2 linked regions of the Canis lupus familiaris genome follow. The protein of the gene in region 1 binds, or shares a complex with, the protein of each later gene. Links are inferred from orthologs where the notes say so. Each region holds a gene or a part of one and is shown in the gene's direction. Other genes may lie near its edges.

Region 1 (4,392 bases):
AACAGTTTTCTGGGGGCAGAACACAGACTGAAAGGCCCCTTTTTATTTACTGGACCAGAAGTTCCAGATCTCACCCCCTCAGTAAGACAGGATCCAGCTTGCTGTCACTTTCATTTTTTTCTTCTGTGCTCTCCAAGCCCCTCGGGCTTAATCCTTAATGCCCCTCTGATTCTGATCCTCCCATGTATTAACCGAGAGGATTGAAAAGAAGGAAAGCAATCCCTTGGCATGGAGACATTAAAGTGACAGCGCTACTCAATGGGCACTTGATGCAGGATGAGTTGGCGAAGCAGATTTCTTCACACTGGAGTCATTCACATCATGCCATCTCTTCGCATCCAAGCAGCTCCCTACCCGGCGAGGAAAAACACTGAGACTGTTCGAGAGAAGTCAAACCTTCCCCCAGAGGTGTTTTCTGAGACGATGTGGTAGTATTAGGCATGTGAGCACAAGCTGTGGAAACGGTTCGCGATCTCCTACATCAGAGTTCTGCTGCTTGGCTTCCACATCCACCCTTTCTCTCCATCTCTCTCCAAACTACCCACCTTCCTCTTGCAGAAAAGACCAGCAATCTCTCTGCTACCGCTGGCCACCCCTGCCCACACCCCGTTCTTATATAGAAGTGCACAGAAATGTCCTGCACCCTCCACGCGATGAAGTGTTTCCTCAGGCAGGAGAGACAGCAGCACTAGAAATTATATAACTCTCGAATTTGGCTTCTCTAAGACATGGAGACTGGAGGGTCGGGGGTGCTGGTCTGGGAGGTACTGCTGGGCACTGAACGTGCACAAAAGGGCGCCAGGCCTCCTCGCAGCGCCCCCGCCCGCACCCCGGAACACCGGCCGGCAGAGGGGTCTTCCTGGGCAGTGGGGGTTGAATTCCCCCGGGCCCCTCTCCGAGCGGGGTGAAAGGACGGAATACGAGGGGACTAACGGCCGGGAGAGGAGCCAGACCGCGGCGGGGGGCGGGGAGGCTGCTCGGGGCCGCGCCGGCTGCCGGCTGCGAGCTCTGGGCAGGAGGTGCCCGGGGAGCCGGAGCCTCAACACACGAGCCAGGCCAGAGGGGAGGACTCCCCCAAGGAGCGAAGAGGCCGGGCGGCTCGGCCCAGCTAACCGAGGTGCCCAGAGGGGAGGAGAGCGCGCAGCCACATCCTCGCGCTCGGACCGCCCCCACGCACCCCTCGGCAGGAGGCAAGGGGGAGCTCGGCTAACACGGAGCAGGGAAAGGGAAGGCTGGGCTGGCGAGAAGGCGGGCCCACGGGCGTCTGGACCCCGCGAAGCCAATGGGCCGCCCTCCTCTCTGGACGCCGCGCCCAATCACAGCCAGGATGGAGGGCGCGGCTTTTGACTGGGCCGGGGAGGGCCGGGCTGCAGGCGAGAGGCGTGAGCCGGCACCGCTTCCCGCTCCGGGCGCTCTGGGTCCCCGCCCACCGCCAGTCATGTGACCCGCCAAGATGGCGGCGCTCGGGCGTGCGGCCGGGGCTGAGCGGGAGGACGCGGGTGTGGTGCCGGCGAGAGCGGGGGAAGCGTCCAAGGTAGGGGGAACCCGGGGCGGTAGGAGTCGTGATGTCTGCAGCCTCCGTGTATTTACGGACGCTTCTGAAATGACGGGCTTTCAGAATCTAAAGCGAACAGACTCCCAGGTCCGTGCAGGGCGCAACCAGTGAAGCCCCAAGTTGTGGAAAGAGGCGGAGAGAAAGCGGGAGACCTAAAGTCCGGTCCCGACCGCTTGCAGTTTCTTTTCTCTTGCCTCCTGGCCTTTGAGCTGGCTTTCAACTTGAAATACTACCGTGCAATCTCCACCCCACCAAATTCTCCTCTTTCAAGTATTCGTTTATTTTTTTTTTTTTTTTCAAGTATTCGTTTAAACGTCACTTACTCCGGAAGCCTTCCCACACTTCTCTTGGCTAGGTTAAGTTTGGCTTTTCTTACGTCTTCTGTTTGTTTTCGTTTTGTTTTTATGGCACACTAATTCTGCCTTTAAATTACCTGCCTTTTTTGTCCTGACCTCGGTTGGGTTGTAGATTCCGGAGAACGCGACTGCATCTTAATTACCCTGGGGTCTGTCGAATACCAAGTGCTGGTAAATGATGAGCGAATATTGAATAAAATTCTGAAAGTCCGGTAAATACTACACGTAAAAGCAGAACAATATGGTAAAATGCTTTGCAGACTATAAACCTGAATACATACAGTCTTACGGGGATAATAGTGGTGACCAGTTTAGCGGCCTTGGACTAGTCAGTTTTTAGATAAAATACTAATTAGAGTAGATGGAGGGAGGTGGGTGGCCAATGGTCTAAATAGGTAATGAGTATTAAGGAGGGCGCTTCTTATGAGCACAGAGTGTTAATATGTAAGTGATGAATCATTAAATTCAGCTATTGAAACCAATATTACACTATATGTTAACCAACTGGAATTTAAATAAAAATTTGAAAAAAGTTTTAGAAAGTTGATTATAGCAAAGTCTTTACATTTTAGTACTTGTTAAGAGTCCATCAGAAAAAAAAAAGTATCAGAAAGTTATTAGTCTATTTCTCTGCTTTAATAACGGTGCTTTCCAAAGACTAGGCACTACATAAATATTTGTACTTAACACATATTTGTCCTTTTTCAGCATTTTAGAATCATAATACTGGGTCTCTGGGCTCCCTGTGTACTGATAGTGTAGATAAGGTGGAAGGTTGGTATAAGGCATTGCCTAAGAGTTTTCTTTGTGGGAAGTAAGAGACTCAAATGAATTGGATGACAGTAAAATAAACATTTATTTTAAACAAACCTATGATAAATTACCATGTTACTGTTATCTGCCTTGATAGAACATTAGATGGATTAGATACAGAATCTCCCTTAGATATTACTGTTATCTTCCATTTTCCATTTAGATGTTCAATAGAGCCAAAAGATTAAATCTAGTCTGTGAGAAAAATGTAATTTATAATTTCTTTCCTTGTCCTCCAGATATTTTAAACAAAAAGAGTAGTACTAGCTGAGTCCAGTTCTGCAATGATGCAGGAAAACTTTTCCATTATTACTCATTGTGTCCTGGGCTTATGAAAGTTGAGAAGAGCCCATATCTCCAGAATGTTGATGCCATGGATGAATTAGCCTTTCGTTAGTTAGGGTTAAGATTGGTACATATCACTTATTCAGCAAATGAGAATTATAGTGATGTTCAACAATTACAGCCATGTGTCCACTGATTAGTAGCATCAGAATCACTGATGTTATTAAAATGAAGATTTCTAGACTTCACCCTACTGCCATTGAATCCAGATATCAGGAGGGAGTTCAAGAGATCGCATTTCAAATAAACTCCCCATGTGATTCTTGTGCACACTAAAGGTTGAGAATTACCGATTTTTTATCTTCTCTGTTCTTTATGCTTAATCCATTCCAATTCTCTTGCCTGAGACCCCTGATATTTGAGATCTAGTTTATCCCCTTGATTATAAATGTTAAAATGGAGGTCAATATAAATTGTGAAGGGCCATATTTTTTTAATCTATTCATCATCTCATCTAGAATCCCATAATGCCAATCCCATAAATAAAAAGATTTAACAAATGTTAAGACTTTTGACAGAGATCCAAGTCTAACCCCGAGCAAAACATTCAAAAAGGATCCTTTCCTAGGATCCAATTTTGTTTTATCTATCACTGTTTTTTACTTCCTTTTAAGATGCTACCGTATAAACCTACATGGTCCCTTGACATTGGCAACTGTTTGTTCATACATCACACTTGGGACACAGCCATGAGTCCAGGCTCCCTGGTATACCACATAAAGTTTCCAGCAAAGGCTATGCTTCTGCCCCAGGGGCTCCTAGGGAGCTGGATATATAATTTATGTAATCCAAGCTATCCATGACCCACTACCTCTTCCTAGCCTGGAACAGTGTCCCTCTTTCTGATGTTCTCTGTCACTATTCTCCAAGGCAATCCCTGCTCTGCTTCTTCAGGAAACATAATCTCCAAAATGAGCTCAGGCTTTCATGAGATAGTTGCCAACAAGTAGCTATTGCTTCCTTCTACCTCTGAAAAAGCTACAGCAAGAACTACAAAGGACCTCGCTGCCTTTGGGGGAAACTGAAGGAAAATAAAAACTCAGTATCTCAGGAGATTATCCTTCTACACTAGGTACTAAGGGAGGTCAACCTTTCTGAACCTCATTTTTTTTTTTTTTTTCATCTATTAAAGTGTAAAAATAGGGACGCCTGGTGGCTCAGTGGTTGAATGTCTGCCTTCAGCTTAGGGCATGATACCGGAGTCCTGGGATTGAGTCCTGCATCAGGCTCCCCACAGGGGGCCTGCTTCTCCCTCTGCCTATGTTCTTCCTTTCTCTGTTTCTCATGAATAAATAAATAAAATATTTTTAAAAGTAGAGATGA
Region 2 (4,283 bases), on another chromosome or scaffold:
ACTTGTGGCTCTAAGAAGTAGAATCCCTGTCTCAACAACAATAGCTAATAATTTTGGGCACTTACAACATTACTAGCGCTACCTAAACTCATTTTATCTTCACCTCTATCAGAAAATAAGGAAACGTATTAGATATCCCCATAAGAACTTCAGAAAGAGGGTGAGCTCCAGGTTTAAACGACATGAGATTACACTTGACTAGTCCGGTCATGTAACACATCAAATTTAGGGGACCCACCAATGCCGAGACCCTACTTTTTTGGAGGAAAGGTACCTGGACTTCAAACTTACGTGAAAAGAAAAAAAAGTCAATAATGATGGTAATAGTGGCGATAATCATGTGGGAAACAAAGGCAGAAGGAAAATTAATTCCCTCCCTACTTGCAGCCCATTGACGAGTCCTTGAAACGGGCGGAGTGACATTCTTCTACGGGCTCAGCGGCCCCCATGTTGGCTTTGCTAAGGGCAAAAGGGCAACCTTGGCCTGACCCGCCAGGACCCTGCAGGTCTTCTTTAACATATAAAAATTCCTTTGGAAACTTCCTTTATTTTTATTCTGGAGTCAAGATACATGTTAGCAACCATCTTCCAAGCACAGGACCTATGGATACGTATCTGGCGGGGGGGTGGGGGGGGTGGGGTGTCTTATGATCAATGTTTTCTTTTTTTATCTTTTTTTTTTAAGATTTTATTTGTTTATTCATGAGAGACACACACACACAACACGCAGAGACACAGGCAGAGGGAGAAGCAGGCTCTACGCAGGGAGCCTGATGCGGGACTCGATCCCACGACCCCGGGGTCACGACCTGGGCGGAAGGTGGCGCTAAACCGCAGAGCCACCCGGGCGCCCTAAGGGTTTATTAGACAATAATATATGACCTTTTCCCAACAATAACTAACGCCTTCAAGGTCCTGGCAACCTTGTTTCCAGAATTCCTTTGAAACTTACAGACTTAGAGACTATCGCCCCCCACCCCAAGTTGAAGGTGTATAATTACTACCCCTCACGACCCCATGCAGCTTTCTGTCCACAGGTCCTGTCAGTAGACGTTTAATGAAAACCACCTCTTGGGGATCCCCGGGGGGCTCAGCGGTTAAGCACCCGCCTTCGGCCCAGGTCGTGACCCCGGGGTCACGGGATCGAGTCCCGCGTCGGGCTCCTGCGTGGAGCCTGCTTCTCCCTCGGCCTGGGTCTCTCTCTCTCTCTGTGTCTATGAATAAATAAGTAAAATCTTAAAAAAAAAAAAAAAAACCCAAACCCACCTCTTTTGCACGGAAGTCCTCTCAAGAATTCTTCCTCAGCCGAGGGCTTCCCAGGCCGCCATCCTCCTACGCGGTGACGGCAGGACGACCAACAGGGCGGTGGGCACGGCTGCGGCGTACGACCGCGGAGGCCCAGACGCCACCTGAGCGCTTTACATCCTTGGAACAAACGCACCGGGTAAAAATGCTGTTACCGTTCCTCGCGCTACTTAACTCAAGTCGTCTACGTTTTTCTTTTTTTTTCTTCTTCTTCTTCTTGCCCTCGCATTCCCTGGAGCGCCGTAGGCATTTCGCAGCGATTGGATGGATAAGACTGTCGTGCTGCCGTGTGTCAGGCGAAGGCGGCGAGTGGGCTCCGCGGGGGCTGCCGCAGCGGCGCGGCGCGGGGCGGGACAGAAGGGCGGGCTCTGCGGGGCCCACCTCGCTCCCCGGGCGGGGCCGAGCGTCCGCGGCGGCCTCGGCCCGCGACTCCGACCTGGCCCGGCGTGCCCCGCCCCCGCCCCCGCCCCCGCCCCCGCCCCGGCGCGTCCGGACGCTCTAGCCCGCGGGGACGCCGCGCCGGAAGTCTCCGCTGCTCCTCGCGGGGCGGGCCGGCCTGGGGGCGCGCGTACCCGCACTTCCGCCCCCGGAAGGAAGGCAGGCGCGCGCTTCCTGCGGCGCGCGGTTGCGGCCCGGAAAGGTCAGCGCCCCCGCGGCTCCGAGCCTCGCGTTCCTTTCACCCTCGGAGACGTTTGTCGCCGCAGCCTGCACGGTTGCGTGTGTGTGTGTGTGTGTGTGTGTGTGTGTGTGCGCGACGGGGCTGCCGGCGGGGGTCTCCTCCCGGGGCTTGGTCGCGGGGGCAACCCGCCTGCTGCCTGCGTGGTGTCGGGGCCCCTGTGGGCGCAGCGCCCTAGGAGGCTGCAGGGGGCTGCCGGGTGCTGCAGGAGGCTGCCAGGGGCTGCAGGGTGCCCCCCTCGCCCGCCTGCCCCGGGGTTCGGGGGTTCGGGGCCGCCAGCAGGTGGCCCTGCCCCGCCCTAAGCTGCCCTACCCTGCCCTGCCCTACCCTGCCCTACCTAGCCCTGTCCTACCCTACCCTGCGCTGCCCTACCCTGCCCTACCCTGCCTGGCCCTACCCTACTCTACCCTACTCTACCCTGCCCGGCTGGCCCTGCCCTACACTGCGCCGCCCTACCCTACCCGGTCCTACCCTACCGTACCCTACCCTACTCTGCGTGGCCCTGCCCTACACTGCGCTGCCCTACCCTACCCGGTCCTACCCTACCCTACCCTACCCTACCCTGCGTGGCCCTGCCCTACACTGCGCTGCCCTACCCTACCCGGTCCTACCCTACCGTACCCTACCCTACTCTGCGTGGCCCTGCCCTACACTGCGCTGCCCTACCCTACCCGGTCCTACCCTACCCTACCCTACCCTACTCTGCGTGGCCCTGCCCTACACTGCGCCGCCCTACCCTACCCGGTCCTACCCTACCCTACCCTACCCTACCCTGCGTGGCCCTGCCCTACACTGCGCCGCCCTACCCTACCCGGTCCTACCCTACCCTACCCTACCCTACTCTGCGTGGCCCTGCCCTACACTGCGCTGCCCTACCCTACCCGGTCCTACCCTACCCTACCCTACCCTACCCTGCGTGGCCCTGCCCTACACTGCGCCGCCCTACCCTACCCGGTCCTACCCTACCCTACCCTACCCTACTCTGCGTGGCCCTGCCCTACACTGCGCCGCCCTACCCTACCCGGTCCTACCCTACCCTACCCTACCCTACCCTGCGTGGCCCTGCCCTACACTGCGCCGCCCTACCCTACCCGGTCCTACCCTACCCTACCCTACCCTACTCTGCGTGGCCCTGCCCTACACTGCGCTGCCCTACCCTACCCGGTCCTACCCTACCCTACCCTACCCTACCCTGCGTGGCCCTGCCCTACACTGCGCCGCCCTACCCTACCCGGTCCTACCCTACCCTACCCTACCCTACCCTGCGTGGCCCTGCCCTACACTGCGCCGCCCTACCCTACCCGGTCCTACCCTACCCTACCCTACCCTACTCTGCGTGGCCCTGCCCTACACTGCGCTGCCCTACCCTACCCGGTCCTACCCTACCCTACTCTATCTACCCTGCGTGGCCCTGCCCTACACTGCGCTGCTCTACCCTACCCGGTCCTACCCTACTCTGCGTGGTCCTGCCCTACACTGTGCTGCCCTACCCTACCCGGTCCTACCCTACCCTACTCTACCCTGCGTGGCCCTGCCCTACACTGCGCTGCTCTACCCTACCCGGTCCTACCCTACCCTACCCTACTCTGCGTGGCCCTGCCCTACACTGCGCTGCCCTACCCTACCCTGCCCTACTCTACCCTGCCAGGCCCAGTCGGCCCTGCCCTACCTTGCCCTACCCTGCCTGGCCCTCCCCTCCCCTGCCCTACCTGGCCCTACCTGGCCCTGCCCTACTCTACCCTACTCTACCCTGCCCGGCTTGGATGGCCCTGCCCTACCCTACCCTGTCCTACCCTACCCGGCCCTACCCTACCTTGCCCTACCCTGCCCGGCCCTGCGTACCTGAGAGCACATTTGTGAAGAGTGGGGCGTCCCCTCTGAGCGGTGGAATCGGGCACTTTGTTGATGGTCCTGAGTTACAACCCTGTGAGGAAGACCCTGCCTCGATGATCATAGAGAAGAATTTTCTGACAGTTGGTCATGGTGACTTTAGTCCCCATCACTCTTGAATTCCATGCAGGGTTCTGACAGTAGAAATGACTAGATTGTTGGAGACAAGGACATATGAGCATGTGTGAGCGTCAGTCGGTGTGTCGTGTATAATATTAAAAATCCGTAGATTCTTACACTTTGATACTTGTTCCTTGAATGTTCCTCATTCTTACTTGTGCTTTATTTCTAAGGCACTTTTTTCCCCCTCTATTTCATATTTGCATAGAAGTAACAAACCGGGCAGCCCAGGTGGCTCAGTGGTTGAGCATCTGCCTTTGGCCCAGGACGTGATCCCGGGGTCCCAGGATCC

What was found. Proteins that work in one complex are often made in the same cells at the same time.
Region 2: TMEM126B (region 1) and COA1 share a complex: the UniProt entries of both Homo sapiens proteins name them as parts of the mitochondrial complex. The link is inferred for Canis lupus familiaris from reciprocal best matches to the Homo sapiens genes TMEM126B and COA1.

What each region holds. Positions count from the first base shown.
Region 1 is NC_049242.1:13,911,722-13,916,113, reverse strand, and holds the start of TMEM126B (complex I assembly factor TMEM126B, mitochondrial), read left to right. Parts: upstream 1-1,380; 5' UTR 1,381-1,453; coding exon 1,454-1,534; intron 1,535-4,392. UniProt on the Homo sapiens protein: As part of the MCIA complex, involved in the assembly of the mitochondrial complex I. Participates in constructing the membrane arm of complex I.
Region 2 is NC_049239.1:6,614,921-6,619,203, forward strand, and holds the start of COA1 (cytochrome c oxidase assembly factor 1 homolog), read left to right. Parts: upstream 1-1,425; 5' UTR 1,426-1,444; exon of another isoform or gene 1,445-1,680; intron 1,681-1,860; exon of another isoform or gene 1,861-1,945; intron 1,946-3,823; coding exon of another isoform or gene 3,824-3,835; exon of another isoform or gene 3,836-3,850; intron 3,851-4,283. UniProt on the Homo sapiens protein: Component of the MITRAC (mitochondrial translation regulation assembly intermediate of cytochrome c oxidase complex) complex, that regulates cytochrome c oxidase assembly.